4 linked regions of the Caenorhabditis elegans genome follow. The protein of the gene in region 4 interacts with the protein of the main gene of each other region in a pairwise test. Each region holds a gene or a part of one and is shown on either strand. Other genes may lie near its edges. The genes, in order: drap-1, T27A8.2, rpy-1 and attf-4.

Evidence for each region.
Region 1: the proteins of attf-4 (region 4) and drap-1 interact in a two-hybrid assay, tested with the Caenorhabditis elegans proteins (one large-scale study listed by BioGRID).
Region 2: the proteins of attf-4 (region 4) and T27A8.2 interact in a two-hybrid assay, tested with the Caenorhabditis elegans proteins (one large-scale study listed by BioGRID).
Region 3: the proteins of attf-4 (region 4) and rpy-1 interact in a two-hybrid assay, tested with the Caenorhabditis elegans proteins (one large-scale study listed by BioGRID).

Annotation. Positions count from the first base shown.
Region 1 is NC_003283.11:9,729,986-9,737,577, reverse strand, and holds drap-1 (Transcription factor CBF/NF-Y/archaeal histone domain-containing protein), read right to left. Parts: upstream 5,620-7,592; 5' UTR 5,414-5,619; coding exon 5,341-5,413; intron 5,064-5,340; coding exon 4,822-5,063; intron 4,773-4,821; coding exon 4,149-4,772; intron 4,045-4,148; coding exon 3,988-4,044; 3' UTR 3,556-3,987; downstream 1-3,555. Other genes in the region: cal-7 (EF-hand domain-containing protein), read right to left, coding at 2,262-2,642, 3,274-3,341, 3,385-3,475.
Region 2 is NC_003284.9:16,055,635-16,062,483, forward strand, and holds T27A8.2 (Fork-head domain-containing protein), read right to left. Parts: upstream 3,312-6,849; 5' UTR 3,301-3,311; coding exon 3,041-3,300; intron 2,414-3,040; coding exon 2,293-2,413; intron 2,242-2,292; coding exon 2,197-2,241; 3' UTR 2,042-2,196; downstream 1-2,041. Other genes in the region: T27A8.7 (uncharacterized protein), read left to right, coding at 1-69, 496-567, 616-648.
Region 3 is NC_003280.10:6,700,029-6,709,015, forward strand, and holds rpy-1 (43 kDa receptor-associated protein of the synapse homolog), read right to left. Parts: upstream 5,616-8,987; 5' UTR 5,516-5,615; intron 5,470-5,515; 5' UTR 5,466-5,469; coding exon 5,376-5,465; intron 5,245-5,375; coding exon 5,168-5,244; intron 5,119-5,167; coding exon 4,853-5,118; intron 4,808-4,852; coding exon 4,660-4,807; intron 4,618-4,659; coding exon 4,455-4,617; intron 4,403-4,454; coding exon 4,286-4,402; intron 4,140-4,285; coding exon 4,074-4,139; intron 3,844-4,073; coding exon 3,715-3,843; intron 3,666-3,714; coding exon 3,466-3,665; intron 3,418-3,465; coding exon 3,287-3,417; intron 3,032-3,286; coding exon 2,676-3,031; intron 2,573-2,675; coding exon 2,468-2,572; 3' UTR 2,205-2,467; downstream 1-2,204. Other genes in the region: C18H9.1 (uncharacterized protein), read left to right, coding at 1-5, 51-263, 316-454; C18H9.6 (uncharacterized protein), read right to left, coding at 673-880, 934-1,008, 1,095-1,172, 1,222-1,385.
Region 4 is NC_003281.10:6,077,286-6,086,707, reverse strand, and holds attf-4 (AT hook-containing protein attf-4), read right to left. Parts: upstream 6,146-9,422; 5' UTR 6,133-6,145; coding exon 6,034-6,132; intron 4,544-6,033; coding exon 4,439-4,543; intron 3,918-4,438; coding exon 3,485-3,917; intron 3,436-3,484; coding exon 3,226-3,435; intron 3,083-3,225; coding exon 2,498-3,082; intron 2,436-2,497; coding exon 2,278-2,435; 3' UTR 1,960-2,277; downstream 1-1,959. Other genes in the region: ABC transporter ATP-binding protein/permease wht-1, read left to right, coding at 8-107, 152-326, 370-506, 702-807, 851-982, 1,027-1,255, 1,314-1,467, 1,510-1,639 and 1 more.

The sequences.
Region 1 (7,592 bases), on a different chromosome or scaffold from region 4:
GGGCTCTGACTTAACGCTCATTATCATGATGATAAGTGTCTCGTATTGTTGGGAAAAAGTGAGGCGGTTTGCTGCCAATTGTACCTTAGTGATAATCAAGAGGGCGCAACTGAAAAAGCATAATCAAATGACTTCTTACCACACCTATAGGTGGTGCAAATTTATATTAAATATTAATAGCCTCGGAGTGAGAGAAACAATTTTTTTTCTAGAATGGAATGTGTGGAATTGGTTTGTGATCTGCGTACTAAAAGTGTGAAATAGAACAGTGTTTTAGGTCAAGCGGTTTAGAGTCTTTACGTCATTAGAAAAGAAGTTCCTTTTCAAACAATTTTTAATGGAAAATGAGTTAAGCTGATATAATCGGTAAGAAGATACTGGCACCGGAAAAGGCTGGCTCGTTGAGCAAAGCACAAACATAACGACAATGAGAAACAATTGAACGACATAAATGACAGACAAAACGTGCGGGGAAGTATTTAAAATCATAATGATTTGGTATTAAAGACAAAGATTTAAACATTTTGAAATTCAGCTAATACATTGTGTACAACAATTTTTTTTGGAATACGTTGATGTTTTTTTTACTGAAACTAACTTGGAACTTGTTTTTTTAACATGGTAAATATGTAGGATGAAAAGATGACACCAATTTAAAATCCAAAGTTAGAAAAATATCTTCCTTACATTTTTTTAACAGTTTTTTTGCGACCAGCCTGCATAATATTTTTTTAATATTGCAGAAAAGCTACACTTTTTTAGTTTCAGTTATTTAATTGATTTGCTTTTTTCTATGCTCCAAATTTGCTGGTCAACTCATTTTGACCATTTTGACTAATTTTTCGATAGCTTTATTATTTCTAGTTTGTTACTTTAATTCCTATTTCAAGTCATCGTCAACAATACTGACCTCCAAAGAATTGAATTTTCGATGATTTTACTATAACCTTTCAAAGAAAAATATATTGTCATCATACCCGTACAAAACTTGAACTTTTAACCATACTACACACTATTTCCCGTCAAATGGAGTTATCATCGAATTCTTCAAATTTCGACGCCGTTTTTTAATGTGACAATGAGCTAGAGGCTTATCACGGATTATTTATAGAACGCTGTGCATCAACTGATAACCGAACAGACTGAAATATTGATGAATGGGTCTAAATATGAATTGGATTTTCTCCCTATTTGCACCAAGATCGACTGTAATATGTGTAGATATTTTATTTTAAGTTGCTCTAAATGACCAGAGAGTTTAGACCAAAACGACTAAGAATATATAAATTGAGGAACATTTAGGAAAAGTAATTTATATTATTTTATTTATATTTCTTGGCATAAAATGTATTTAAATAAAAACAGTCCGTGTCCAGTTTTGAGAGATTGCACCGATTTTTTTTCTAATTAGAAAAGTGGTTTATATGTAGAGATTTTTGAACTATGCAATGATTGCAGTTGATCTGATAAATAACACACGAGTAGTCCGTGTTTCAATTTGCTGTTAGTCTTTCTGAAAACGTGGCAATTATAACCTTGAAGGATCTTTAGTGCCAAAAAACCTTTGTGTTGCTCCCCTGTAGAACACAAACTAATTGGTAATTTTTTGCTTAACAAATAAAGTTGTCATGCTCTTTAGAGGCCCAACAAAAAGGAGGGCTGATATGTGCAATTGTGGTTTTGAAAACTTTGCAGTCACGCACGGCCTGAAATTCTGGGGACAACGGGCTCACGATGTATTTAAAACATTGACGAGTTAGCTTCTTGTATTGTTTAAAATTATCCGTCTGCAACATATTAAACGATTTTCAGACATTTCCATCACCGAAAAGACATATTCGTATTATAATAGATACTGATTATCCGTAGGTAATGATAATTTGATCGTCAACGCCCTAAGGTACATCGTTGAATCACTTTTATTCATGTCTAGTTTTGATATGGAAAGTTGTTCAACTCATCATAAAGTTACGATTACCAGTGATCCAAAAGAAAGTGTGTCACAAGGTTATAACTAGAAGTGTAAGTGGGTCTGTGAAAATGTTATTTTTCTGAGAACAAGGCCATGTCCAAAGGGTTTGCAACTAAATTCAGACGGTACGCAAGATTTGAAACGTACATATCTTAATTTTCTGGAAAATTTGCTCTCTTGGCTTTAGTTTCCAACAAAGTTGGGATGGTTGAAGGCATCCACGTTTATGAAGATTTATAGAAATTTTCCAAAAAAAAAAGTGATAATCCTTACAACTAAAATTAAAGATTTAATCTCTAGAAGTAATCATTTCGCAAGTGTCTTTAACATACGAAACCCAGTCAATATCTCCATTTGCTCGAATGCTGACATGATTCAGAAATTGCTTAACTTCTTGTGGAGTCAATGGTTCTCCAATTGAAGTGAGCAATTGCAATAATGTATCTTTTTGAACATAATTATTAGATGTTATTACTTGAAATGCAGCATGGATTTGTTTCGGAGTATCATCTTTCCATTCTTCATTTTGAATTGCCAATACGACACGGGGCAGAAGGTCATCGAATGAAACTCTTCCATTTTTCTTTGCAGTTTGTTCACTGACCAATTGCAATTCCGTTTGACTGGGGTTCAATCCAAAGCTTCGGAGAACGTGACTCACATCGTCGGTCTGGAATTTCAGTTTAAGAAAGATTTAAAAGATTCAGTGGAGACATTTTAAAGATTCAGTGGATTTAAAAGATTCAGTGGAGGTCCATAATAGCCGAATATCATAATAAAACTCTCCAAAAAGTATTTCGACTTTTGAAAAATTTGAGTCAGTTTTTACCAAATTTTTCAAAAAATGTGAACTTTTTGAGATATTTCATGCATTGGCGCGGGTTTGAATCTCTAAACTGTTACAATAAAAATAACCAAAACAATACTAGAATATCGAAAACAAAGAAAACCTATAGAGATGCAAATTGAGTTTTCAACGAATATCAATAAGAAATTTTCAGCTATAGGTACAACTTTTATATTGACGACGCTCCTACTAATTGGAAGAGCCAGGAGAAACATTTAAGAGTTTATGAAGTATGAAAAATAACTTCATGCACTCGAGGCGTGTTCGCCTCTTCACTCACCCTACTGAAGGGCGCGAGGAAGGCGAGTGGGAAGGCGGGAATAGGCTCCCCGTGACGCCTACACTAGGTGGAATGTCTATTTGATCCGGTTCTTAATGATATAAATGAGTAGAAAGTTGGAGAAAAGCACCACGTGAAAAGCCAAGTTTCAACAGTAACTACAGTAATCCTCACTTCAATCAAACCATCAGAATCCTCGTCAAACATCTTGAATACATCGAAAAGACGACGTCGAATATCTTCTGAACTTCCTTTTTTGTTTAAATTGGACAAAATATTACAAACCAACAATTACAGAATCTACTTCTTCTTTTTGGCTCTCATTTTCCCCTTCTTCTTCAATGTTTAATAAATCTTCATCTTCGCTCAGATCCATAATTTAGCTGAATACTAATATAATGTAGATCGCTCTAGTTGTTGCGCGAGTTTAGTGGTCTTTTCTGTCGGAAATATACGTTTTCTGGTTGAATAATTTTTATATTAAATACTACAAAAACGGAAATTGAATTCTAAAGCATGACAAATATAAAAATGAAGAGAAAAATTGAATTAGAGAGACAAAGAGCAAAACAAGTTAAACATATGACAGAGAACATTTGGAAGGTTTAATGAAAAGCGACGAGCATCCTGATTTATGAAGGTGTGGGTCGGTAATGGTTCATATTGGGAGAACATCGAAGTGATTAAATTTTGATTTGCCAGTGAACGACAAAAAATGAATAAAACAAGAGAAATAGAGAATAGGGTAGACCCGGTGAGGATTTGTTTTTTTTTTCTTAACTTGGAGCAATAGAAAAGGAGAAATTTAGATCAGAAATGGAGGGCAACGAGACCATTGAAAAGTACACGATTAGGAGAAGAATAAAATTTCTCATAGAGAAGTGAGGATCACGGACGGCCAATAGGCAGTGCTGGAGGAGGCATCAACTCGCGATCCTTGTCTTCCTGAAAATGATAATTTTGCTTTAGATCAAAAGGATCACAGAACCGTAAATCAAATTACATCTTTAGAACATTTTGATTCTATGTCTAAACTTTTCAAATATTACCTTGGCTATATTCCTAGAAGCTTCCTCGTAGAGATCATCATCAATACATTTTTCAGGTTTTAACTTCTTTGGGCGTCCTCGCTTTGGTCTGTCTTCTCCATCACCATCAGTAGATGCTCGTTTTAATCCTGTGAGACGTTGTCCTTCAGAATCTTTTTTCGAGTATTTGAGCATTCCTAGCATACCATTTACGAGTTGAGTTGTCGGAGTGCTAGGAGAAAGTGGTACGGTGGCTGTGAGTTCTTGAACTACTGGATAATTGGATGGAATCCCTTGAAGATAAAGTGGAAGTGGTGCTGCTGGGGATTGCGGATCAACTAAATAAGGAGAAATAGTTCCATCTTCTTGTTTCAATGCTTGTTGATCCATTTGCATCATTTGCATCTGCGCATTGGCAAGAATTGCACTAGCAAAATCTGAATTTTGTTGCTCTTGGAGCATTTGCTGTCCTCTCAATGTCATGCCGGTACGTGCAGTATTCAATTCAGATGCTTGCTGTGGAAGTGCAACATCTTTGAAGACTGATTCTAGAAATGAAAAGTGTGGAGTGTTGAGAACCGCCTGCTTCATGTGTTGAGGGTTTAGCGTCTTTGAAGATGTGAATTGAGTAGCTTCTGCGGCAGCCTCAAATATATATTCAAGGTTCAAAATAACTATGACTGAGTCTTCTCACCTGTAAAAACTTCTCCGCAAAATGCTCCATTGCTCTTCCGATGCTGACAGGAACTGACTGAACCATTCTTCCGATATCCTCATCACTTTGCATAACCTTCTTTATGCGTGTTGGCTGAATTTTTGCAGTGCTGAAACGACGTCTTCGGATCACAGCAGCTGCCTGTTGCTGCTGTTGGTTGCTGCTACCTGTTGATGATGAAGCACCGGCTGATGAAGTGGATGCCAACGTTGACATTTTTTCTGAAAAATAAATTTAAATAACGATTTGATCCTAATCTGTTAATTCTTAGATATTACATCTACAAATTGTTTTAAGTCGCATATTTTTTGAAGTTTCTAGATAGTTCATGATCCAGAAATGATGCCGGATACTGACGGTTTTACCCAAAACAAATTAAGGGTTTTTGAAAATAAATAAGCTTTCATTTTAAGATTTTATGAATGTACGTTTTCCGATTATCTATAATCGAGTTTCTTTTTTGTTCCATCCACCCTAAAAGATAAGGTCAAAACTAACGAGTAGCCGATGCATAATTGACGGGTAACATCGGCACCGCAAAGCCAACATCGCTTCCTCTATTCTGATCCATCTTGTTTTCTCCTCTCTCGAAATATGTATTCTCTGGTTTCCTTCCAAAAGTGTCAGTGTCTCCGACGGAAACGTTGCTGACGAGAGAAGACGATGTTGTGGAGATTTGGAGGCACAAAATGAGAGAGAGAAAGAACGAACAACGGGTGGTTTTCGAGAGATATAGAACTATTCCGAAGACGTCATCGATGATGGGCCTGAGACTAACTGAAAGTTGGAAGCTACTGTATAATACTCTTGAGGTAAAGCGATGAAATGAGAGATTATTGAACCATGAAAGAAGGACATGATGTTTCATTCATAGAAGCTCTCTTAACAACTTTGGAAAAGACATTTAGAGCCCATGAATAATCAACGCAAACTTTTTTTTCTAAAATTAATGGTCACTATTTGATATTGATTGGAATTATTAAAATATTCTGTGCTCAGTAACAAAGGGATTCAGATAATTAGATTTTGTTATATTTCATTTCCCGTTAGAGCAACTCCGTTTCGCAACAAGTGTGTTATGTTCTATATGTTCTGTATGTACACAGCCGTTCGGGTCTCATCGATCACTATAACAATATAGATCATCACATCAGTACAACAATTGATAACAAAAAAGAGGCGTGATGGTATCTTCCTTTTTTCTATTTCTCGCTTTCATTTTGGTTATTTCATTCTTTAATGATAACGCCATTTATTCCATTCTGCGTCGTGTCGATTCGATTCGATGTCAACGCACACACACACACTTACACATCTACTGGCCAGGACTGGAGGAGAGCGCGTAAAGACGAGTGATTGAGCGCTTCGGTGAGGAGACGAGAGAATCTAAGGGAAATAGTGTATAAAGAGGAGATAGAAGGGGGAAAAACGGAGAATAGGAGCAGAAAGGCGCTGGCCGATCACACGCAGACCTCGCGTTCTTCCCTCCTTTATATACAGCGGACAAATCGGTGATTCGCAGGTCTGCGCGACTACGGTACCCGCTGCTTGTTCTGCGTCTCCACGTGTCGTTTCACTACCTTTTCCCCCTTTTATTTAGCGTGCGCCCGCGCCGCGCCGATGTTTGAGAGTCTTTGATGCAGCTGTACGGGCCGAGATGAGAGGGAAGAGAAGATGAGAGAAGCAGAGAGTTGAGGGAAAGAACATAGACTCCTCCTCCGCATACTCGATTTGTATGTTTTTGTGTGGACAGACGGACAGATGGATAGATGGCTGATTTGTCAGCTTGCCGTCGAATTATTGATTGTTCTTTTGTGAAGCAAAGTCGAGATATTGAAATGATGAAATTATCTTAACTGTTCAGTATTTGCATAAAGAATTATTGAACGGATATTTTTGCAATTGTTGCCTATGAGGTGATTGAGATCTTTTTGCGAATTTTTATTCTCCAATTTACTAGAAAAAAAACTTAGAGGCAAATTTGCGCAAACATTTTTAAGTTCAGACCAGGATGGGCGGCAAAAGAACATTTTCGGCAAATATATTGATCGACATTGATCAAGTTAAAAATTTGGCCAAATGTCTTGTGCACATTTAAAATATTTTGAAAAAAATCTACAAATGAAAGAAAATTTAATTCGTACAGCAGTGAAGTTTTTGTGGCAAAAGATTTATCTAATTTTTCTTTGTATATTAACTTATAAAAATTTACAGATTTTCAGATTTTCTTCTTGGATATGAACATTTTTAGAGAATTTTCAATTTCCCAGCAATCGGCATTTTTGGAAATTGATGAATTGATGAACTTTCGATAACTCAGTATTTTCCGCAATTGTTTAACTGTCAAAATAGCGAAATTGGAATTGTCGCCCAGCTGGTTCAGACTACTTAGAATTAATAGAAAATGTGATATCTTTTCAGAAAAAAAAATCAGAAATTCAGTCGACGATTGAATTCAACATTGTTTTTCGGAAAGAACGAAATTGAACACGAATTTACTATTTAATTATGCAGAGTTTTTTAGTTTATCGATTTTCAATATTAAATTTTAACCAATAAAAGAACTCACCAGTGACAATTGGCTGCTGCTGAAGTCTCAAATGGCTTTCACGTCGTCGAAGTATCTGAAATATTACTAAATTTTTATAAATTAAGAGAATTGTAGAATAAATGAAAGTAGACAAGAGAAAAAACAAAATAATTCTGATTTAAACGTCCCGCATTTCAAAAACTCGAAAACTATGCAAGCA
Region 2 (6,849 bases), on a different chromosome or scaffold from region 4:
ATGGAGCGCAAAAAGAAGGAGGACACATCAGTTTCAAATGGATTGATAAGTGTTGTGAGTGACAATAAGGTAATATTATAGGTGTTCTATGAGCTTTCAAAATTTTCAAGTTGCGATTATGTAAGGAAATTTCTAGTTTAAAAGTGGAGTAGCGCCAGTGGGAAAATTGTTAATAACCACTATTATGGTCCCAACATGACCGAATATCATAATAAAACTTTTCAATTTTTTTTTTGAAAATTTTTTATTTACAGTCTAAAAGTGACAATTACTCAGTTTTTGCCACTAACGGAAGTCGACCAAAATTTTTTTTCTACATTTTTTATAGCCGAATTTGCCGTTTGCCGAGCTCGGCAAATATTGGAAAAAGAGATTTGCCGAATTTACCGAGCTCGGCAAATTTTGAGATTTGCCGCACACCCCTGGTCTGTAACTATAATGCCCACTAAATTCAAAAAATAATTTATAGCTTACCCAAATTGAATCAACTTTCAGGTTGAGAATACGTATACATCCTGTTCATCTGTTTCCGAAATCATTAAAAAGTTTGAAAACTTTTCATCGATGGTATGACTTGTGTAAATTTACATTACATGCAATCCAGTTTGATTTCAGAACACGTCAAATTTGTTCGGCGGGAAAAAATGATTTGGCTTCACACACACACACACACACACATTGCTTTATATTGTTTCGCTAGCTTTCACAGACTATCTTTTTGCTACACTCCTTGTCTTGTTTAACCGGTTTTAATAAACACAATTTAGCATTTCAAAATATTGCTTTTTTTCTAAATTTTAACGGGTAAAAACGAGCACCATCTTATCCGATTTTTACCCCTGGCCATATGGACAACCCCCCACAGCGACCATATTGATTATCCACAGAATGTGCAACTCCCTGCGGCAAATTTGAAAAAAAAAAACGAGTCATGGCACTTTATATTTAAAAGTCAGATGCCCCTTCCCATATCTGTGACCGCCTAAAAGCGAATTTAGCAGCAGGGAGGATGGCTACCTGCGCGAGTGGCCACAAAAATTGTTTTTAAAAGATTTTTGATCTAAATTAAAGTTTGAAGGTGGACTAGCTAGTGGTTTCAAACTTAAATCCGACTCGGACTTGAACTTATCTCAAATAACTTTTGAAATAGATATCTGAAACAATGCAATTCAGTTTTGATGACAGCTCAGTATCGAAAAAAAAACAGAGTTTTGCTAAAACCTCAAGTCATATTAATTTGTCTGTGTTGCAGCTGTTGGAAATTATTTTGCAAATTGTCCGCCGTGCTACGGCACTTTTATAAATGGTGCCAGTCTCACTTTTTTATTCGATGACTTTATTTTTTGCGCCCCATCTTTTCTCAACCAAAAGGGGTGTACCAAAAGTACCTGTTGTCAATTGGATTTATTGATATATTATGATACTTCGTTATAGATCATCTTCTTGTGGGACACCCTGATATGGGACCATTTACCATTTTCACAGTTAATAATGTTTAACGTGGTTTACAAATAGAATTTGACGATTTATTTTTTTTTTTGGCAAAAGTCCCAATTTCTGCTAGATTGAAAATTGAACAATTTGAAGCTGCCCATTGAAATCAGTGCAAAATTCTGATATTAGAAATATATACTTTACCCACATTTAGTGTTCATTTTTCAGCACAAATTGCGCCATTCTACGCCACCGCGCCACGTTTTCATGGCGCCAACTCAACGCAATCAGTGACTCATCCTGAGCTGGCAACATGGTCAAGTGTGGTAAAGCACTCGACCGTGGAGTCAACAGTCGAGGGTTCAATCCCCTCACCGAACCAAGGTGGTTCTGAGTTGCTCACATGCTCAGATAAGTGGAAGTTCGGAAGATTGATGATCAAAAAGGTGGTGTTGAATCTTATTGTTTCATTCAACATTGACAAAAGATCGAAAAATGTTTTTTTCATTTTCATAGAATTGTCTTCAACTAGGCTTATACTCTTTTCACTCTCTTTTTCTGCTTTAGTTTCCCACAGCGTTTGTCAGAAATAACAAAGTTTGTATGATTTTTTTCCAATTTTTCCGGAAGAAATTTATGTTGGTAGGAATGTTTTGAACTGGAAACTTTTTTATATACAGAATTGGTTCAATAAAATCTAAAAAGTGAATAAGTTGAATTAATGTATAAATGAAATATTTTTATGAAAAACTTGTCAAGAGATCACCCGGTTGAGGACATCGAATACATCCGTCCAGCAAGATCCGTCTGCAAAACAATTTTTAATATAATATGACTGAAATTTCCATGGCAACATACCATTTCCACCTGATGCTCCACATATTGCTTCAACTCGTCTATATCCTTTCGAAACTCCTCCTCAACATCCAGAATATCCTTGTTGCCGTCTTCATAAGCCCATAGTCCAGATCTCACGTCTCTGCAAATTGAAAGTATAAAAAAACATATACGAATAGTTTTTGGAGTTATTTCTTAAGTTTTTTTTGGAGTTATTCTTAAGTAAGTGCTAGTGATTAAATTTAGCAAAATTTATAAACCAAAAAAATACAGTTTTTATGAGTATTCACATATTTTTGTTTTTCCAAAAAACTGATAAAAAGAAATTTTGGTGAAATTTTTGGAGAAATTGTGGGGTTCTTATCAGGGCTGTGCGGCAACCGGCAATTGCCGAAGTTGCCAAACCCAAAAAATTTTGGCAACCGGCAAATTTTGGTTGCCGAAATTTCGGCAAATTTTTGGCAACCGGCAACTTGGTTGCCGGTTGCCGCACAGTTCTGGTTCTTATGTCTAAATTATATGAACAGCAATTGTATGATTTGGCTATATAACTTGTTATCTGATATTTTTTAGCAGAACTTTATTTTTATTTTTTGTTGTAATTACATTCTGGATTTACTTGAATTTGTTGAAAATTATATGAAAACCAATTTTTAAACGCTACACGCAAATCTGACAACAAAATTCAGTTTCCGATAATATTTGAAAAAGAATTTGAAATGTTTCAAATTTTTGTTAAAAATATTTCTACAAACTTCACAAAACTCACCTTTCTCGACGAAAGCACAGTTCGGTGTCCAGAACCCAGGCCACATGATTAACAAACTCCCATTTGTACATATCGTGAAACACTTTGTAATACGGGAACAAGTCGGTGATCCACTTGACAACTACTTCAATCTCCGGAAACACGTCATCCGCTTCTTCCATCGCAGCACTGACCAGGGCGACCATTTTGAACTTGGGCATCGCCATTTCCGGATGATGAAGCCCCATAATTTGGTTCATTTCGTGAGTGAAATACGTCATGGTAGCTGAAAATGAAAATTTACTTAGTTAGTTGAAGGTTCTCAAATTTATTTGCCACGTACATAATAAAGGAAATACAGAAATGTCTTGTTTTTTTGGATCTTATATTGCGGCAACTTGCCGAGTGGGAAAAAATTTAAATCGTGCAGACGTCAGATTCAGTTAGGCGAAAATTACATGAAAAATAACAAAAAAAAAACCACAAAAAAGTATAGCTGTGGATATGAGAGAATGGCACATTCAAATGTCAGCAAACGGCCATAAACCATCGATCGATAATAGTGTGCGGAAGACGAGGGCAGACCTGTCGCGCGACTCACGCATTGCAGGCAACACCAACTTGTCGTAGGTCAAATCTTGACACGACAACGAACTCGTAATGACCAAATCAAAAGGAAACAAAAAAATTGAAAAAAAATTGAATTTCGAAATTATGAAAAGTTTGAGTCGGCTATATCTGAGCATAGTTGAAGGTTTTATAAAATTGATGATTGTAAAGATGAAAAAAAACTTTAATTGAAGATGGACAACGGCCTGTGGGAAAAGATTAAAACTCGTTCACATTAAAATTTAAAAATGTCCAAATATCATAATAAAAATATTCAAAAAAAAAGTTACCTTCAGTTTTAAATTTGACTCACGTTTCCAGTAATCCTATTTTAATATTGTTGGGATTCAAACAAGCAACAGTGTTTTGGTTTCTCCAAAATTGGCGCACGATCAGACCCGAAATAAAAAAAAATTCCACAAATTTTTAAAAGATCCATTATAATATTTAGTCATTTCCTAACTGTTAGAAGGATTGTTAAAGCTAAACAATTCATAAAAATTTCCATAAAAGTTATTCATAGAAAAACATGGAAAAACAGAAAATTTTCACAAAAATATTAAAATGAAATTTTTTCCAGAAATAAGCAGAACAACAACGGCATATCTTGCAGCAAAAAGAAATGCCGCACTACTAACAAGGAAAGAAAGCAAATCTAGTTCCGGACTATGAATCTTTGAATTTCCTGCCAAAATGTTTTTTTTTCTCAGGAAATTTGAGTTTCTCGCCTAAATTTTTTCTTAGAAAATTTGAATGTCCCGCCAATAACTATGGGACTCCCCCCGGTAATCCAAATATAGGCGCAAAAAACAAAAATGAAAATTTTCAAAGTTTAGAAGAATTCCTATGGTATTCGACAGAAGTTTTTTCACAAAAATTTTGGAATTTTGGTAGGGTTTCCATAGATTTGGATTCTAAATTTTTTAAAAGATTATGGATAAGTTTCTGGACCTACAAGTTATATTCTAGCCGCGCTAGAGGGGTTTTTGTCTTCAATTCATTTTTTTACATACATATGATTGCACTTTTTTGCAAAAAAAAAATTTTGGAATTTTAGGAGAATTTCTATGAAAATGGATTGCTAATTTTTTTTAGTATTACGTTTCTGGGTCAAGAAATTCGTTTTTGGTCGCGCTATAGGGGTTTTTGTCTTGAATTCCAATTTCAACAGGTTTCCTCAATATCAACAATTTCAACAGGCACAAAAAAACAAAAATAAAAATTTTGGAATTTTGGGAGAATTTCTATGAAAATGGATTGCTAATTTTTTTAAAAGTATTATGGGTACGTTTCTGGGTCAAGAAATTCGTTTTTGTTCGCGCTACAGGGGTTTTTGTCTTGTATTCCAATTTCAACAGGTATTTACAGGCACAAAAAACAAAAATAAAAATTTCGGAATTTTGGGAGAATTTCTATGAAAATGGATTGCTAATTTTTTTTTTAGTATTATGGGTTCGTTTCTGGGTCAAGAAATTCGTTTTTGGTCGCGCTACAGGGGTTTTTGTCTTCAATTCATTTTTTTACATACATATGACTGCACTTTTTTGCAAAAAAAAAATTTTGAAATTTTTGGAGAGTTTCTATGAGAATGGTTTGCTAATTTTTTTTTAGTATTATGGGTACGTTTCTGGGTCAAGAAATTCGTTTTTGGTCGCGCTACAGGGGTTTTTGGCTTGAATTCCAATTTCAACAGGTATATACAGGCACAAAAAAAACAAAAATAAAAATTTCGGAATTTTGGGAGAATTTTTTTAAAAATGGTTGCTAATTTTTTTTTAGTATTATGGGTACGTTTCTGGGTCAAGAAATTCGTTTTTGGTCGCGCTACAGGAGTTTTTGTCTTCAGTTCAAAACATTCCTACCAACATAAATTTCTTCCGGAAAAATTGGAAAAAAATCATACAAACTTTGTTATTTCTGACAAACGCTGTGGGAAACTAAAGCAGAAAAAGAGAGTGAAAAGAGTATAAGCCTAGTTGAAGACAATTCTATGAAAATGAAAAAAACATTTTTCGATCTTTTGTCAATGTTGAATGAAACAATAAGATTCAACACCACCTTTTTGATCATCAATCTTCCGAACTTCCACTTATCTGAGCATGTGAGCAACTCAGAACCACCTTGGTTCGGTGAGGGGATTGAACCCTCACAGGTGATTCGCGGCTCATGCGTGGCGCGTCTCACACGCTTCGCTCACGCGTCTGAGAGGACCAAGCGAAGACGCGCGTCACGCATGCGTCAGGCGCGCGTAGCGAAAGCAAGCATGCTTCACGCGTGCATTGCGAAAGGAAGCATGCTTCACGCGTGCGTTGCGAACGGGCATGAGTACGGTAGAAATGGGTCCAAATGTAGCGGCCGGAAAGACATGAAGCATTTTTGGCTCATGAAAGCCCCAGAACAAATAATTTTGGTTGATTGTAGCAGAATTCGTAACAAAAATAACTTCATCTGAACAACAAACAAAAAAAGCAGTAATAAAAGAAATTAATAAGAAAAGTAACAAACCAATAATTAGTTGCAATATTAATTAATCAACAAAAACAGCTCATGATGAAGCTGGGGCTCCAGACGTTCCCTCGCCGCCAGCCTTCTCCGTCAAATCCCCCATGTTTTCCAAATCAGCCGAGCCTTCTGGACTTTCGACGAAAATGAGCTCATCCCTGAAATGGAATTGGTATTCAATTTTATCACGAACTATTTTCAAATGTTTATATTATTTCGCTTTTTCACTATTTCAACTGTTCAAATTTTAAACTGAAGAAAATTCTAAATTCGATGTTATGAAAATTATATTTTTTATATTACTGTATGAATTCCACGGAAAAATTCATCAGCACACATCAATTCTTCAATTTCCTTCAAATTCAAGTTCAATTTTTTCTGTGAGCAATATTTAATATGTTTTTAACTTTTTATCAAATTTCCCAGTCGACTTGTCACATTTGTCTTCTAGACTTAAAGATTTAAAGGTTACGGTCGACAATTGTACGTGACACCGACAAACTATTGCGGACCGCGCGAAAAATCGTGCCAACTCATTTCTTTGCAAAATCATTCATTTTGAGCATATTTTCTCGTCATTATGATTTTAATTTTGCGAGTTGGACAGAATTTCTTTCACTAATATACAGTTTATATTTTTTTTCACGCTGATAAATTTGTTTGGCTCCCTTTGTCCACTATATATCGATAAACACGAAGATATAGTGGTAATTTTGGGA
Region 3 (8,987 bases), on a different chromosome or scaffold from region 4:
GCCATGTTAGTTTTTCAGATAAGAATTAAAATTTATTGATTATATTGCAGACATCCAACTCTGATCAGTTATCCAGAAGAGCAAAGAAAGACAAATAGTCGGGTTAAAAATAATAGGAGTAACTATCATATTGGAAATATTGGGAACATTGGTGGAAACATTGGAAATGGTCAAAAAATGAACAGGAATAAAAATGGAGGAAGAAATCAAGGAGGAAATCATCCGGATAATATGGGAATTCCAATGTTCCCCATTGCTAGACCGTAACCTTTTTCATTTAAAATTCTGCCAATGTTGCCTAAATTTATATTTCAGAACACCGTATGATCTTGCCGAATACATTGAACGAGGTTTGAACACTGGAAGATCCAATCACAGAACTCCACAAAATTTCCGAAGATATCCAGAACATGAATGTGACTATTATGCGGGACCGTGTGCCACATCATTCTAATTTTATTAATTTTTTGATAGCTGTATATTTTTCACATTTTCCTAATACGTGTAACTCAACGAGGGTGTCTCCGATTCCGCCTTTTCAACGACGTTTATGTTTCAATTTAAATAAACGTTAAATTCATAAAAAGTATTTTGTACCTCGCAAACACATATGAATATTTAAACCAAAATTGGAATAAAACATTATTTATTTTAGTTATTTCAGAATTATGCTTACAAATGACAAATAATTCTTGAAATCTGTTCAGCAACCCATTTTCCGTTAGAATCAGTTGCAGTGAAATACCAATCTGGGCTCTCAGCCAAAACTTCCAGGTAATTTGGATTTGGTCCAATCGAGACCACGATCGAACGGAAATTGTATTTTTGTTGAAGTTGATGCATATAACTGGATGCACTTCCATCAAATGCAGCTATATCACTAAAAAGGTAAAACTTTGGAATATGTAAATAGTTGTTATAATTGTAACTCACTCAACGCCGACGGTGACCAGGATATTAGTGGATGAAGTTCCTGGATCGCGTTCCTCAAGAATATATTCATATGCTCTGAAAATTTTGATAATGAAGAAGTCTACATTTCAAGCTTCTAAATTGCAAAAACCGGCTGTTAAACATAAAAATAAATTGAGTACCTCTCAATCTTTGGGTCAGTCAGAACCATAACTTCACTGTATAATTGATCAATATTTATGTCCAAAAGTTCAGTGCTCCTGAAATTAAAAAAAATAATTAGGACCAAAATTCAAGATAAGAACTCACGTAGCATCTGGATAATGAAGTATGTAATTTTCATAGACACCTGAATCTGGATATGGTACATTAATAGCTTGAGTGCTCCCATCTTCAAAATTGTAGTTTGTAGAATTGTAAAGATATTTCTGAATGAAATTAAGAACTCCCTGTGTTTGTGGAAGCTTTGTCATTTCGTAAGCCAACGCGATTTTTCCATTGAATTTTTTGGTGCATGGTGGGAAGTTCACTTAAAAATTGATTGATTAAATATCTGGAAATATAGTGGAAATCTGAAAATTCAAAATTTCGCGCTATTTTGGCAAGCTGGCTTGGGTGGTTTTGGAATATGTATGAAGTAATAGGTTTGTGTAGCCAGGAAATAATGGTTATCAGTTGAATGGTCTCAGTGCATTCATGCGTTGGGTTTTATAGTTTTCAAGTCAGGAAATGATTTTTTTGATTAGAGACGGAAGTTGAGAGACTGTCGGACAAAGTTTAAAATTTTAAGAGGTAAAATGATGACATTATTCTGAAAGGCGTCTGTAGTGTTTAAAGAAATTATGATGACTACAATAATCATAATCACTTAAAAAACTATAAGATTTTTTGGAAACTTATCACTTTACAGTTCTTTGAAATATAGATAACATTTTGATTTAGATCATACAAAGATTGCTGCCCAACTTTTAATTATTACAGTTTACAGAGGTCATCTTTAAAATTTTTATGCTAGTTAAGTTTTGAATTCAAATATTGGAAGATGGAGTTAAAAAATACAGCGGTTATCTATGTTTAAGTTCTCCTAAGCCCGTACACAGTTTTCAATTCAAAATTGCTTTCACCGTTTAAAAATTCCCCCGATTTTGAATTTTTTTCTGTTAAATGTTGAAGTTTTAGAGAATAAAATCATGTGGGTTCATCTATTTTCAGAATTTTTCTCAATGAGATGGACAACTATCACACAAAGTTTCAGCTTGTGGGTGTTATCATGCACAAGATTTCATCATATTCAAAAATTGAAACAAATTTTTATGGAAAGAATTAAAACTTTGAAACATATGAATTGAGATCAAAAATAAAAATAAGAATAACTTCTAAAAGATTAATTGAAAAAAAAGATTGAAAAGTGAACATGAGCAGGAAAGAAACTGGTGGGTGACAATGTAGAAGACTAGAAATTCAAAATTTTGAAGATTCCTATTTAAAAAAAAACGATAAATGATATCACAAAACAAGGGATTTCGAGGGGATGATTGCAGTTTGTATTGAGGCTTCAAACATCTGTTACTGTAGGCGTGTGAGTTATCACAAGAGGACCATCTTCTGCTAGTGGCATTGCTGGAGGAAGAGCTACTATTGATGATGGAGGTAGGGCTGCCTGAAAACATTCAAATTTAGGTGATTTCTCAAAATACAATTTAAGGTCATATGAAAAAATTTAAAGTTCAGAAAGATCATTTAAACTCCTTCAATAATATTACCTGTGAGCAACAAGGTTTCCGTGGAGGTGGTGGTGGTTTATGATTTGCATTCGAATGCGTGTGTGACTGCGATGTCGTCGATGCAGTAAGAATCGGTTCGGAAGCACAAGAAGCCGTTGTTGAAGGTACTTCAGGTGACGGAACTGCAACTGCTGAACATGCATTCGCCGCTGCAGATTGTTGTGATTTTAGCCTAGCAAGACTTCGATCAACTCGATCAATATCTTTCTCGGCGCCACGAAGAATCTTGTCCTGTTGTGAACGTCGTGTTAATGTGGCTTGTGGTGTGATATCTCCAAGTTCGGCAGCTGCTGAGACAAGTGGAGTGGCAACACCTCCCGGTGGGGCGAAAGACGCTGAAATTAAAGTTTATTGATTACGCGCTGACATTCAAAAAATATTTTTTCAATAATGATAAAAAATAAACCTTTAAAAATACTATTAGAATAGTTTTCAGAAGAAAAAGTTCGCTTTGAACTAAAACTTGGACAACTTCTTTACCATGTTTTTTGCTGAATACTCTACAAAAGTTGACTTCAAATTTCGGCTTCATAGTTTAATATTTTTTCGAATAAATTTTCAAGTATAAATGTTTATAATAAAAATCTTACTGCTAGGACTCTGAACATCAATTGTTGAAGCAATAGAACTTCGTATCGAGATATTGTCCGATAAAACAGCTCTGCATCTACATTTCGGGCAGGTTTGATCTGTTCTTTGTAGGAGATACGTGTGTAAGCATCTGAAACATTACAACTTTATTTTTAGAATCTCTGAAACTCATTCATACTTTTCATGGAAAATATGCGAACACCTAAGAGCTTGAAGACTCTCATCCTTCAATCCATATCTTTGACCGCAGAAGTTACAAAACAATTGCATTTCTTGTGTTAACCGAGACGCAGCTCTTCGAGCAGTTTCCTCAGAATCGTCATCATTCAGTTGAGAATATAGTTCGGCTAGTCGGAGATGGCACTTTAAGACAACGTGCTGAAACAAAATTTTGAAGTTTTGTGGAATCATCCTATCGATTTTGTACCTTGCACCCTATCTGATTTGCAATTTCAATACACTTTTTATTCAATTGAATAGCTTGACATTCACATTGTCCAGTGTAATGAGATCGACTTTCAGATGCACTTTTTGCCATTGACGAGAGCACTAATACCTGAAAAACACTCAGAACTTATTAAAATTATTTTCTCACAATTCCCCAGAAATATACTCATGTTGTCTGATCTCTATGTGAGATTGTGTCAACCACAAAGCTTCAAGATTTATGGGAAAGTCGTAAAAGTTATTTAATGGGAAAAGAAATTGAGACCTGGATGTGAGCTTTTGGTTTTATGAGGTATTTGGTTGTACCAATAAATAATTGAAGGTTTTTTGGCCACTTACTTCGCCCATTTTATCATTTGCTCCGCGCATTACACGATAAGCATCTTCGTATCTTGCCCAGGATTTCTGTAAGAAAGAGTTTATTATCTAACAATAGAAAAAAAAAACTCATTGATTTCTAATACAAGTTTTAATGAAAGTTAGTTGTTATTATTAACTTTTCAAGCATAACGTTTTTTTACTGAAATAACTGAGAATTTAAAATTACTCACAGTGATAGTCTCTTTGGCTTCACTCTCTCCCAATTCTCTATAAATATCTGCTAAACTGCACATACATCTTGCATGGATCGCTCGATTACCCATCTCAACAGCTAGCTGGGAAGCTTCCTGGAATCATTCAATACTTTTTGAAGTTCTTAAACTTTAAATAAAAACTTACATCGCATGCTTCCTTGGCATCAACCAGACTTCCTTTCATCCTTAGAGCAACTGATAAATGATAAAGTATCAAACAACGATACTTTGCATGAACATCATCAACAGTAACAGATTGAACAATTGCGAGAGCATTTCGAAGAAATATCAGAGCTTTAGTGATATCTCTGAAAATAAAAATGTGTTATTTTTCATTTCTGTACGGTTACCTCAAAAGAGTAAAAAGAGATCCTAGACCAACACAAATTTGCAATTCGAGTAACCTATCCGATGTCTCATTGGCAACATTCATTGCTGACTCGAAACTTTCCAGACACTGTTGGAACTGGGACATTCCTAAGTGTGCAAGTGCTATTGCTGAAATAGCCACAGTTTTGTCTAGAACCTATTGAAAATTCTTACTTAAATGTGCATAACCAGGCGTCCTGGGATCCATCGAAGGATGTTCTAACGATGCTTTGCCATACTGGAGGGCTTTCGTGAAATCTGCTAATCGTTCATAGGCTTTTGCTAGATTCAAAAATGCCTCGCATTTCATTGCTGAATCGTTTTGATCGGTTGCCAACTGCATTTGTGATAGAGCATATGAAAGCATTCCTTCGTATTCTCCCTGGTCGCAAAGAGCTTGAGCAAGGTATCCGAGAGTGATAAACCGGTCTTCTGCATTGCTGAAAATGGACGTTATAGAAAAGAAGAGGAGTCGTCTGAAAGACTTACTTTAACCTGTTCAGAGACTGTCTCCATTTATTGATAGCCTGTGCGTAATGTCGTTGATGATAAAGTTTGACGCCAGCCTGCAGAAATAAATGTTTAAAATTGGGGAATGCCAAACAGGAATGATAAAACATTTTAAAAAACATCACAGAAGTTCGCATAAATTTTAGTTTCCGAAAAAAAAATTCCCCATATCAAAACTATTACCAACCTGCATGTGTTGCTTTGCTTGCCGCTGTCCCATTGATCGTCGATGATTCGTGATGAGATTGATGTTGTCGCGACACACAAAAACACCCATTGACCTGAATAATATTCAATAATTCAAACTTCATGCTCAATATATCTTACCTACAGACCGGCGGCAAGTAATCATGTAGTTTTTAGTGATGGCTCTTCTTTTTTCTACGTGTGTGTGAAATACGAATAAAAATTATCAATCCTATCTCATCTGAAAATTAGGAAAATTTTTATTGAAGTTTTTATTTTATAAATCTTTCGATGCAGAAAGAGAAAAATGTGCATGGTGAAAAATAAAAGAAAGAAAAGAAGAGGACAATTGATGAATAATTGTTTTAGAATCCATTTCTGAGTCTGCATGCAATAATGATGGAGTACCAGAGGATCAATTATGAAGGGATTACTGTAGATTTTATATGCTTTAGCTATTTCAGGCTCTTGCACAAAAAGTTCCACCCCACAAAAAACAATTAGCTCAAGCACATTTTGTTTGTGTTGACATTTTCATGAGACGAGAATTCTTGGATGACTTTTGATTGATATTCGAGATGAAGATGAGATAGTATGAATAGACATGGAGATTTAGAGATATAGGTGAGAAAGTGATCCATCAATTTGAGGTCATGAGACGATTGAGGAAAAATTGGTGGGGAGCAAATGAACGAAAAATGATGGGATTGGAAACGGAAAATGAGGCGAAAAAAGAGAGGGAAATTTGTGGAAGATAATGGGAAACAGATAAGAAATGAAAATGCCAATTGGATAGAATAAAAATCAATTTGAGAGAAAAACATCAGAGCAAGCGCAAAAGTGCAAACTGCACAAAATAAACTATCTGCCTACACGCATGTTTACTGGCATGACATAGAAGAAACTTTCAACAAAAAGTTAAAATGGGAGAAATGTATATCATATACAAGAGTTCCCAGCGACACTGAAAAATTGCTGTAGGCAAGAAAAATGGCAGGTAGGAAATATGGGAATAGTCCTAGAATGAACTATATTTATTAGAAAACTAACTAAACATATACTTCAACTAGAAGTCAAGTTTTGGAGTTCGAAAAAAACCTGTGTTTGTGCAATATACTTTTAGAACGAAAGGAAGTCCGAACTCAAGATAAATTCAAACTTTTAAACTTTTTTCACCGTTTACAACTCCGCCCAAAATGTTTTTTCGGTACTAGTCCCTATTTGAAATCACTCTGTCAAATTGAAATTTTCGGGAAAAAAGAAGAGTAGTACTCTCTAATGTGACCCGCCGGCTCAGGCGAGCTTCTCAGGGGAACTGAATCCAATTTGGAATGAAAAGAAATTTGGGACAAAAGAAGTGAATACGGGGAAAAAGAAAGTAGATCTAGAAGAAGAGGAGGTCTAGTACTTTGATGCACATCTTAAGGAATCCGTATTCCAAATGTTTTTTTTCTTGAGTTGCCCCAAGCTCTCCGAGTTTGGAAAAGGATGGGAAACGGAAAATCGAACTCCCATGGGAAATTGAACAGAAATTGACATTTTTGTGAAGAGATGGGTAAAGAGTTGGGACACATTGAATTGTGTGGAAGAAAACGATGAGAAGAACCGATTAGATTAGAAATATTTTTAAGGATGAAGATGAAAAAGGATTATTTAGAAAAAATAAATCAGGAAAATTTCAGTTTCGACAATAAAATGTTAAGGGAATAAAGTTCCACCTCTGGATGCCCCACTTGAAGTATTTTAAATAAACAATATTTTTAGAAATCCAAATATATTTTCAAAATAAGTCTTGATGTTTTCAGCACTACATTTTCATATCGACGTAATTTTAAAAATGAAAAAAAAAATTTCGATCAACAAGAACAGTGAGCCATGGTTTATTGTAAGTTGGAAAAAAATATGTTTCACTAACATGATTAATTTACAAAAAAATAACTCTACATTTGAACTTCAATTATAAATTGAATGTCGTGAAATAGAAAAAAAACTATTTGAAATTGAGAGTTATTAATAATTTTCTAAAAAAAAACACAATTTTGAAATAGCTTTTTTTCCTAATTGCAAAACTTTTGGTAATGCATCAAGTCATTCATCTTGTCCATAACTACAAAATTATACACACTGAAAACTGCAAAACTAAAGAAAAATCTTTACGGCCCTCACCACACATTCACAGAAGCGAAAGAAGAGAAAAAAGAAGAACAATAAAAGAGTTTCATCAACACTACCGCCGTATCTGCGTCTCTTCGTCTCTCGTACTCTCTTCAACTCGGGTGCTCCAGTGATTAATTGGCGGGCTCCGGGAGCTGAGAAGAGATGAATTGAGAGGAGGAGTGGAGTAGAACCGGGGCGCCAAATGTCATCCGTCAAAAAATTCTTTCTTCTTCTCCGCGTCCGTGAAATGACGACGGTGCGGAAAATAAGAAGAGAGTAATTTTTTGCTCTTTTTCTCTCTCATTCTCACTCTCTATATTTCTCTTTTGCAGAATATTCTCACATTCTTTAATTATTCGCCTCATTGAATCTTTAAATATCTAGTTTTCAGGAAAACGTTTCGGGTTTTGCAAAGACTCGAAAGTATTCGACGCGAGTTTTCGGAAAAGTAAAAAGGACGAACAAAATACCACCATGGATTAAGGAAAGATCATAGAAAGTGAAGGGACACAGAGATAAGAAATGATTGACAGACGGTTCAAAACTAAAAAGAAATACAACGAGATGGCAACATTTTCGAAGATTTTTGGGGTTTTCAAAACGAAAAAGAAAATGGGTTCTTTTTGCAAAATGGTGTAATATTGTTTTGAGGGATGCACCAAAGTTCCAGTCAGTGAAGACTAAGCAACTCACACTCGTCAATTGGATAAAGGTTGCACTTTTGATAGATTGAGAACATTTGGAGCAAACTACAGAACTTGGGAACCGTTAAAGGGCTAGTTGGGCAAAAAGGATCTTCAATGGTGACAGTTTCGTATTCATATATTCCTTATTGAATAAATTAGACTTGAAAAATCATTGCAAAGGTAAAAAAATTTGGGCCTAAAAATTACTATCTTTCCAATAGGAATTCCACGGGCGCCTGGCTAATTTCTGTAAATCGAAAGTCTGCAAGTTGTGCAGGCTGCAAGTTTGCTGTTTCAAAATAATTGACTATCTATTATACTATTATATAGCAATAAAGTATTTGGACAAAGAAAAAATTTCAGCTCACTTCTAAATTTTTCTGTAACCTACGCCATTTGAAAAGGGCCTTTCAAATAAGATCCTACAAATTTATCGGCAGTGGAACAATTTGAATTAGAAAATTTGGAAATTTTGAGTACGAAACTTTAAAGATACTTTTAAATGCAATTGATTAAAACTAAATTTCAATAGTTTTTTATTCAAAAATCTTTTTTAGTCCAATATTAAACAAAAAAAATAGTTTTTCAAATAACAAAATTCGGTGCAATTAATGAAAAATTAAAACCGCTAGAGCTTGAAAATCCAACAAACGCAGCTTCTTGAGAAAAATTAATTGGAAAAAATAAGCGTTCTTTCCTATATTTTCGGAAAAAAAGTAACCGGAAGGGAATGAAAAAAAACAGAAAAAGGGAGAAGAGACCATGACAAA
Region 4 (9,422 bases):
AATTCAGGTCACGTTGTTCAAGCTCTCAGAAGTTTGGCGGATAATGGAATGACAGTTATTATCACAATTCATCAACCCAGCAGTCATGTCTACTCTCTTTTCAACAAGTATCTTTTGCAATATTTTCTTCCAAAACTCATAAATCTTCCAGTGTCTGTCTCATGGCTTGTGGGCGTGTCATATACTTGGGGCCAGGTGATCAAGCGGTGCCGTTATTTGAAAAATGTGGATATCCATGCCCGGCATACTATAATCCTGCGGATCATCTGATAAGGACTCTGGCCGTAATTGATAGTGATCGAGCAACTTCCATGAAAACTATTTCGGTGAGAATCAAAAAGATATACAACTCAATAAAATTGTTTTAAGAAAATTCGCCAAGGATTTTTGTCTACGGACTTGGGCCAGTCGGTGTTAGCAATTGGAAATGCGAACAAACTTCGAGCAGCGTCATTTGTAACAGGAAGTGATACATCTGAGAAAACAAAAACGTTTTTTAATCAAGAGTGAGTTGGAAAAATTTGACATCAAAAGTATTACACCTACCTGCCTGCCTATCATTTACACCTACCTGCCTGCCTATCACATTTTTGAATCTTGATTTGAACTCCATTGTTTGGTGCTTAAACATCACAGATAGGAGAAATGCTTTAACAATAGTATTACTTCAATAGTATTACTTCGGAAATTTTTAATTTCAGCTACAATGCATCATTTTGGACACAATTTCTTGCTCTTTTTTGGAGATCTTGGCTGACAGTAATCCGGGATCCAAATCTGCTTTCTGTCAGGTTACTTCAAATTCTTGTAAGTGTGTCACTGCTTTATTACTATTTATATTGTTGTATAGATAACTGCATTTATAACTGGTATAGTATTCTTCCAAACTCCAGTCACACCTGCTACGATAATATCGATAAATGGAATAATGTTCAACCACATTCGAAATATGAACTTTATGCTTCAATTCCCAAATGTTCCGGTACCAGGCAGCCAATTAATTTCAGAATTTGAATTAATCTTCAGGTTATTACGGCAGAACTTCCAATTGTACTCCGAGAAAATGCAAATGGAGTGTATCGAACGAGTGCATATTTTCTTGCGAAAAACATTGCAGAACTCCCTCAATACATAATCCTTCCAATTCTATACAATACAATTGTCTACTGGATGTCTGGGCTCTATCCTAACTTCTGGAACTATTGCTTCGCGTCGCTGGTAACAATTTTGATTACAAACGTGGCAATTTCCATTTGTAAGCTGTGCTCAGTTTGACCTGTGAGATGACAGCTGCTTCATTCTTTTCTTTTCAGCTTACGCTGTCGCAACGATCTTTGCCAACACTGATGTAGCCATGACAATACTTCCAATCTTTGTAGTTCCAATTATGGCGTTTGGAGGATTCTTCATAACATTTGACGCCATTCCATCTTACTTTAAATGGCTCTCTTCGCTCTCTTATTTCAAGTAAACATGATGATTTGTGTTATATAATAACAAATCTTTTAGATACGGTTATGAAGCTCTCGCGATCAATGAATGGGATTCGATCAAAGTGATTCCGGAGTGTTTCAATAGTTCAATGACTGCGTTTGCGTTGGATAGCTGCCCAAAAAATGGGCATCAAGTTTTGGAATCGGTTAGTGTTTTGGATTATTAGAAATTAATTTAGGAACATTTAAAAAATCTGTTTCTCAGTGTTGGATTACTTAACCAAACTAAATCGTAGACTTTTTGGTGTTTATTTTCTGAACATCGAATAATGCTCAAAAGAAGTTTTTCACAACGAGGTGGAACTTTCATTGTTCAAGCTTTTATGGTTTAAAATTACAGATCGATTTCTCGGCTTCGCATAAAATTTTTGATATTTCAATTCTGTTTGGAATGTTCATCGGAATTCGCATAATTGCCTACGTGGCACTTCTCATCCGTTCCTATAATAATACTTGAAAAGGAAATATTTGATTGTATAATTTATTTGAATACTGTTAATTTGAATTTTGTTAACATATTTTGTTTTGTGAATGTTGATGCCGGAAAATTGGAAAATTGGAAAATCAAAAAAAAAAGCAAGTATAAAACATGTTGAAAGTGATGCCTATGTGTAGAAAATGATACATATAGGAAGAGGTGATGACAGGGAAAAAGTAGAAGTAATTGACAATAAGAATATATCGAAAAATACCCATAAAATCGGGTGGTCTGTTTTGAGATGAATGGAGGTTCAGTAGTAAAATGTTACAACAAGAAAATAAAACAAAAAAATGTTTTTAAAAATTATGCGTTCGGAGCAAAAAGAGCAGCCATGGATGGACCTGCTGCACCAATTTCACCGTCAATCAGTCCCGAGTTGTTGTCGTTTAGTTCGGCAAGGAAGTTGTTGAGGAATGGAAGATTGAGCTCTTTGATATTTATTATTTCGGGCATCGTGGAGGCTGAAAATTATAATTTTAGAGAAGGTTCAAGTGAAGTTGGACTAGAACCCGTGACAACTCACCTTCTTGTTTCACATTTAAATTTTCCTCATTCTGATGTCCATTTTTCGACTCTTGCTTCACTGTCTTCGTGGCTGTCGATGTCGTGGCAGTTGATGAAGAAGATGCTGGTGGAGATCCACCTTCCAATTGTTGATTCACCATCATCATATGCTGCGAAAAGATGTTCTGAGCCATCATATCAGCCATAAAATTGCCACCAGCCGGTATATTTGTCAAGTTTCGTCCCATATTCGACAGTGTTCCGGCTGGAAGTCCTAGCTCGATTTCCCGCTGTCGTTCCCCAATTCTCGACACCAACTTCATCGCCCAGGTGAGCTTCAGCTTTACATGACCTCCATGCTCTTCGAGAAGGCCTGGAGCTCTTTCGAGTATGTATTGACGAGCCATATGCAGGGCCTGAGATGCGGTGAAGTGGCCACCATGTGGATCTGAGTTCTTCAGGGAAACCATGTAGTCAACGAGATCAGCATCAAGTTCATCTCCGATAAGCTTTGGACGTCCGCGACCACGTCCACGTAAGAATCCAGGAGAACCTGTCGAGTGAGCAGCGTTTTGTGCATTCAGTTTGAGCATATCGACCATAGCTGAAAAATTAAAAATTAATTTGTTTTGCATTGATAAAAAATATAATTCAAGTACTGCTCTAATTACTTAAAGTTAGATTTCCTTCCCTTTAGCATAATTGAAATTGGCAAAAATTTAAGAAAAAACATGCGGATCTACTTACATTGAGTGAACAAGTTGGCTCCTGGAGTTGTTGGTGTAGCTGGTACGGTACTAGAATGCATGTGAGCCACCTCATTTGGAGCCTCAAGATGATCATCACCACTTCCTTCCGAGGAGGGTCCTGGTGAAGCTGTTGAAGTGTTGGCTGATACTGCATTGGAATTTGTAATCAGATTTGGGATGGACGACAATGGAGTTGGCGGGACCAAAGCTGAAAATTAGAGTTTCTAGATTGCGCTGTGGTTGTATAGTGAACTTACGATTCGAGCTCTCCTTTCTCTGATAATATGAAGCAACTGGTGGTGGGAATCCAACTTTCCGGCTCTGCTTTCTCGCTGGTTCTGAGAGTCTTTCGGTATGAATCTTGCCTCCACCTCCACCATTCGCCATCTGATAGCCTTGTCCAAGCTTCAGAGGCTTCAGTTCAATAGGTTTTGGATTTTCAGAGGTCTTATTTGCTGATGGTAGAAAAGATGATCCGTTCTGTTGATCCTTGTGAACAACTTGTGATGGCAACTTGTTCATTTTCGAGAGATCGAGGAGAGTCTTGAGTTGCTGATCAGAAGCATTAGGGAATAGCTGCGAGAGCACTGATGTATCATTCTTCTGCTCTTCAGCTCCAGGTTGGTTGACTTTGGAGCATGTTGTACACTTGCATTGTGGAGCATGAAGATGGTTCATGATAGAGGATAGCTGGAAACATACAGTTCAATGGGTCCATGTATATTTTAAATTTCATAACACCACGATAAAATTATATTTTTTTTCCATTTTTCCGCGTCAATAAATGTTGACATTTAATTTATTTTTGGATCATTCTACTATTTCCTCCCACAAAACACACTATTTGACGATCGCTGTCTTCACTTCTTCTTCTTCAATCTGCTTCCTCTGTCCGGTATGTATACGATGCGTGAGCCCCGAGACAGGGCGACAGAGGGAAAGAGAGATGGTCAAATGTAAACTTTGTGAATGAAAATGAAAATGAATTCCACGGGTGAAAAATCGAAAAAAATAGTATGTGTGACGGACGGTAAGCCTATTGTTGTGTCTAGTCGAGTTTTTTTTTGGAAATTTTCAAAATAAATACTAGACACCTATGACTTGTTGCATTACACATTGCACTTGTCGAAATTGTTGTGCAAATATATTTTTCTACTTCTTTCATTCTCGATTTAGAAAATAAAATAATTTATTAATAGTTTTTCACTCACCTGATGCTGAATGAATACAAAATTTGTCTCGAGCTTGCTGACACGATCCACTAAGTTCAGATCTTCATCCTCGTCCTTCTGATTCACATCGTCTTCCATGATCTCCTACAAATATTTCAGAATTAGAGAAGAGCTTAAGCTTGATCAATAAGAATTGCAAAAACTCATGTATCAGATATATTTATATTCGAGCAATTCGTGCAGCAACCTAACAAATACCAAATAAATTTAGAAAATTGGTCACAAATTCACTCAAATTGAGGGTTGTATGTATGTGGTGGCTGGGTGCTGCTGTGACAGGAGAGGGAGCGGGCTGCTGGCTCAACCACCACCTCGCCTTCCCCCCTGTCCGTTTTCCTTCTCAAAATAAATAAAAAAATATATAAATATTTGATTGAAAAAAAATGGAAAAGAAATAGTGCGGTTTTAGAAGAGCGCCATAAAAAATACGGAAAATCGAAAGAAATTGGGTTTTTTATGTTTGTAGGAAAAATGAATGATTTGAGAGCACAAATTGAAAGAAGGGGAGGAGGAAAAGTTCGCTTTTTCAACAAAAAAAACAGTCTGTTTGTTTGTTCGCGCACTTTTACGGAATTGTCGTGTGCTCCGCGAGCATCTAACAATCATCATTAAATTGAAATTTTCTGTTAATTCCTATCATTATCAAAGAAAAAGAAGAAGAATTTTTTTCATCTATAATTTTTCAATAATTTTAACGATTCCGATAACTGATAATATTTTCGCTACGTTTTATTTTCTATCGTGTAATGTGTAGATAATAAAATAATAAAATTCTTGTGGGGACAACGCAAAAAAAAACCAAAAGAAAATTGTGCTCTTTTTTTTATTTTGAAAAGGTTTTGTTAAACAGAAAAAAGGGAGAGAAAGAGCGGGAAAACAAAATATGTGTGGTTCCGAGTCCCACAGAGTCCCACAGCGGCAAATTTTATTTCAAAGTGAGCATAAAGGCAAAACTAAACCTTTTCCAAAAGCACTTCTAAATATGGAAAACGAAAAAAAATGTTTCATAAATTTTATATCGAAAAAAAAAGTTGTTTGCCTTCTGAATTAGCACATTTTCATCGCTCTCACTCTCACCTCAATTTTTTCAATACATATCGAAAAATATGTCTATTTCTCTTACATTTAACGAGCGAGGCAAAAATGTTGAAAAAAATGAAATTGCGAGTTTCTTCGAAATAAATAAAAAATCATCTTGAGATGTTTGAGGCAAAAAATAAACGAGAGAGAAATTGTGAAAATGAATGAGGGAGGCGGGCAAAACGAGTGCGAAAACAAGAGAAAAGATTGAGAAATGTGTAATATATGTATTTGCGTTACATCTTTGAAACTGCGAAATTTTTTTAGAACACAATTTTTTTGTTGTTAAAGTCTAGAAATTTTAGAGGTCGCCCATGTAGGTTTTCAGACATTCAAAAATTTTGAACCTCTCTCCAAGCTTAATGTATAGTTTTTAAATATGTAAGACATGGGAACAAGTTTGAAAAAAGACATACAGTAAAATTTTTTTATATGTCTTGTAATTTTTTATAGTGTTCTTTTTTCACATCAAAACGATGAAAATCCAAACTCACGTCAATGTTGGAAGGAGAAGCTGAACTACGATCTGTACTGACGGATCCTCTGAACTCTTCACCATTCGCATTCGGCGTTAAAGTTGGCGGTTGGAGCATCATCTGAGTTGATCTGAAATATTAAGTATAACATATTGATAATGCGTTTAAAAAATGAAATTAAATTTCGAGAAAGCGAAGAAGAATGATAAGAAATGTGAAAAAGTGAGGGAAAAAGTTTTCAACAAAAAAAATTTGTTTGAAAAAGTCATCAAAAATATTAAATTCTGCTCTCTCACTTGTCCCTCTCTTTCTATTTTCCCGTTTCACCCCAAAACATATATTTTTGATAAGATGTATTGCAAAACTCGAAAATAGTACTCGAATACGGGAGACACTTCTCTGAATCACATAAAAAATGCGAAATTCTTTTTTTATTTTTGTGGCTGGTAGTGGATGACGAGGACACCAGAAAGAGAGGGAGAGAGATACTTGAATTGCTGATTTCGCATTTTACAAATTTTTAAATTTTATTTTATTTTTCCGGTTGCGCAGTAAATAACAATTTAATTTCACATAAATTGTTTTCTAGGTGGGTTTTGCAGAAAAAGAGAGAGGGAAAGAGAAAATAATGAAAATTTTAGAAAAAATTTTAATTAAATTTGTGTAACAAAATAGGCGAGAATTGGGGAAGGCGTAATCGGGGGGAAAAGTTTTTTTTTTGAAAAATAAAGTTTCAAGGCGCACGCGCTGAAAATTTTAACTGGCCACGATTAACATAAAACGAATTTATAGACCTCCCACGGAGTGTGAAAAATGTAATTTTCTGCCAAAAATGTCAGAATCATATTGTATTCTGAAGACTAAACGAATTTTGAAATAAAATTTTCGAAAAGGCGTTTAAAAAAGGCGCGTCAAAATGTAGCTTTCAAAGTGACTACCCCAGAAGCCAAAAGTTCGTTATAAATTCAGAATATTAAAATATTTTTTGCCAATTTTTAGTTAGTTATAAATTTCCTAACTGGAATTGCAAAGAGAGTGCAGAGTCTAGCTTCTCAGCACCCTATTGAGCGAGAGCTTTTCGTTTCTTTGCTACCTCTGTTGGAAGTGTGGAGAGTCTTTAAATTATCATAACTTTGTGATGCTAGAAAAAAGTTATCAACTGACAAAATGCTGGAAAATATCAGCTGGCTTTTCAGTTGAATATTTTCCAGAAAATATTTTTGTTTGTAGATAATTGAATTTGAAATATTGCATGAAAAAAACAGTACCTTAAAAACCATGAAAATCCCAATTTTTAGGGTTGACAACTGGCCATAGCGAAAAATCTACAATTTAGAAATGTTCACTCAAAAGTCCCAAAAGAGTCGCCAACGTGACCATGAGTTGACCCTTCCCTAGTCAAAATCTCATTATACCGGTGGAAGGCAGATGTTGGTTGCACACATAGCACATTAGAATAAAATAAAACATGGAGTAAAACGAAATGTCCATCACCACTGTCCACCATCAAAAAACCAAAAAAAACGGAACAAAGGATGGTGTCTGTTTGGGTGTTGGGAGTAGAGGGGTCAAATGAAGAGAAAGAGAGAGCAGGTGGCGTTTTGTAAACGAGAGTTAGAGAGGAATAGAGAAATAGAGATAAAGAGGGCACCAAATGACACATTTTATTATTCTTAAAGGACGATGTCAAACCCGCCCATCGCCTGCCACCAACGGGCAAAATGGAAGAGAGGTTATGGAAAGCACAGAGGAAAGAGAGATAGGATTAAATTTTATTGTATGTTACAATATTGGAGTGGGAGAAAGAACATTTGAATTTGGAATTTTACTTTTTGGAAAATGGAAAATTTATAATTCTCAATTAAATTCGCCTATCAAGTCAACCGGGGTATATAGAGCTAAAAATAGGAAGAGAAAGAATGTTGCCACACGTAGTGGTCTAGAAATACTAGAACTCGGCAGCTCTTTTAAAAATAAAGATCTTGCATCCAGAAAACTGTAGATAAGGTTTGCTGAAAAAAATTAATTAGTTCCCGAAGTTTAGGTTTTTATATCATGTAGCAAAAAAGGATGCTCTGATCCTGGCCTACATAAGAAAAAATATCGCTGGCCGAAGTTTTGGTTTTTCTAGGCCAAACGTTCAAATTCACATTCTGAATTCAAACATCTTCATAAGCTTTCCCACTTGCTCCACTAAACCCCGCCCAAAAGTTTTCAATGTTTATATATTTAATCGCTGTTTCCTCTTTTTCCCCTACCACTCGTGAATGCAAAATAAAAATTTTCTTTTTCGAAATTTTTCATTCAATTTTAATGTGGGCCTCGGTCCCCCCGTTGTCTGACTGCCAAACATCTGCTCTTACTCTTACTCTCTCTCTCTCTCTGTCATTCAATTTCTATATATTTCAAAATTTCTTATGATTTGGAAATATATAAGAGAAAATGAGAGATCAAGTGATTTAAAGGAGACGCAGCGTAGTAAACGACTCCCCATTTCATTAATTCATTCAAACATTTTATGGACGCATTTTGGGTTGAAAGAGAAAGAGAGGCAAGGGTTTTGGACACACACATACACACGACAGAAGGCGATAACTAATAAATAAAAGAATGGGTTAAATTAATGGAAAAGAGCACAAAAGTGCATCCAATTTTAATATATTTTTCCAGAAATTTTGATTTTATGCATTTAAATTAATAATGCCAGAATTGGAGAGACTTGGAGTTTCAGAAGGAGGCTTTTGGCAATCGGGGATTCTTTATTTAATGAAACTTTTTAAAAATTAAGATATGAAGAAAATTGGAGGAGTCTAATCAGGATATTTTTATAAAAAACTAAAAAATAGGTCTATAATAAACATTAAAACATTGAAAATCAAATAAAACTTTTCTTCATCTTCACTCCCATAACCTCTCTCAAGGCCGGTGCGCCCGCAACCTCCTCATTCACATTTATTTACAATTTTCAGTTAAAAATTGTGTATTATTGTATTGCAGCATTGAATCAATTGAATAGATCAAAAACAGGTTTTTACCCTCCACCACTTTCCGCAGATTTTTTTCCCAAGTTTTTTTTTTGAAATTGAAAAATTCAATTTTCTAATTACACCCCTTTTGCCGTCCTACCAAATGAATGCCTTGACAGTTTTTGAAAAAGAAGTAGAAATAATTAAATTAAAAATATTTTGAATTTTAAATCTCAAATTTACAGAATGAAAAAAAAGCAATTACATTTTCCACAAAAAATGAAAATAAATAGAAATGTTTTCTCTCAAAATCGTAAAATGAGAAAAATGCGTCGAAGGGGGCGGGGTGCGGGCGAGTGGAAAAATATGATATTATTTATACATTTCGCTTGTTGAAAAAAAATTTTCAACAAAAATAGGGAGACAGTGGGCAGGACGAAG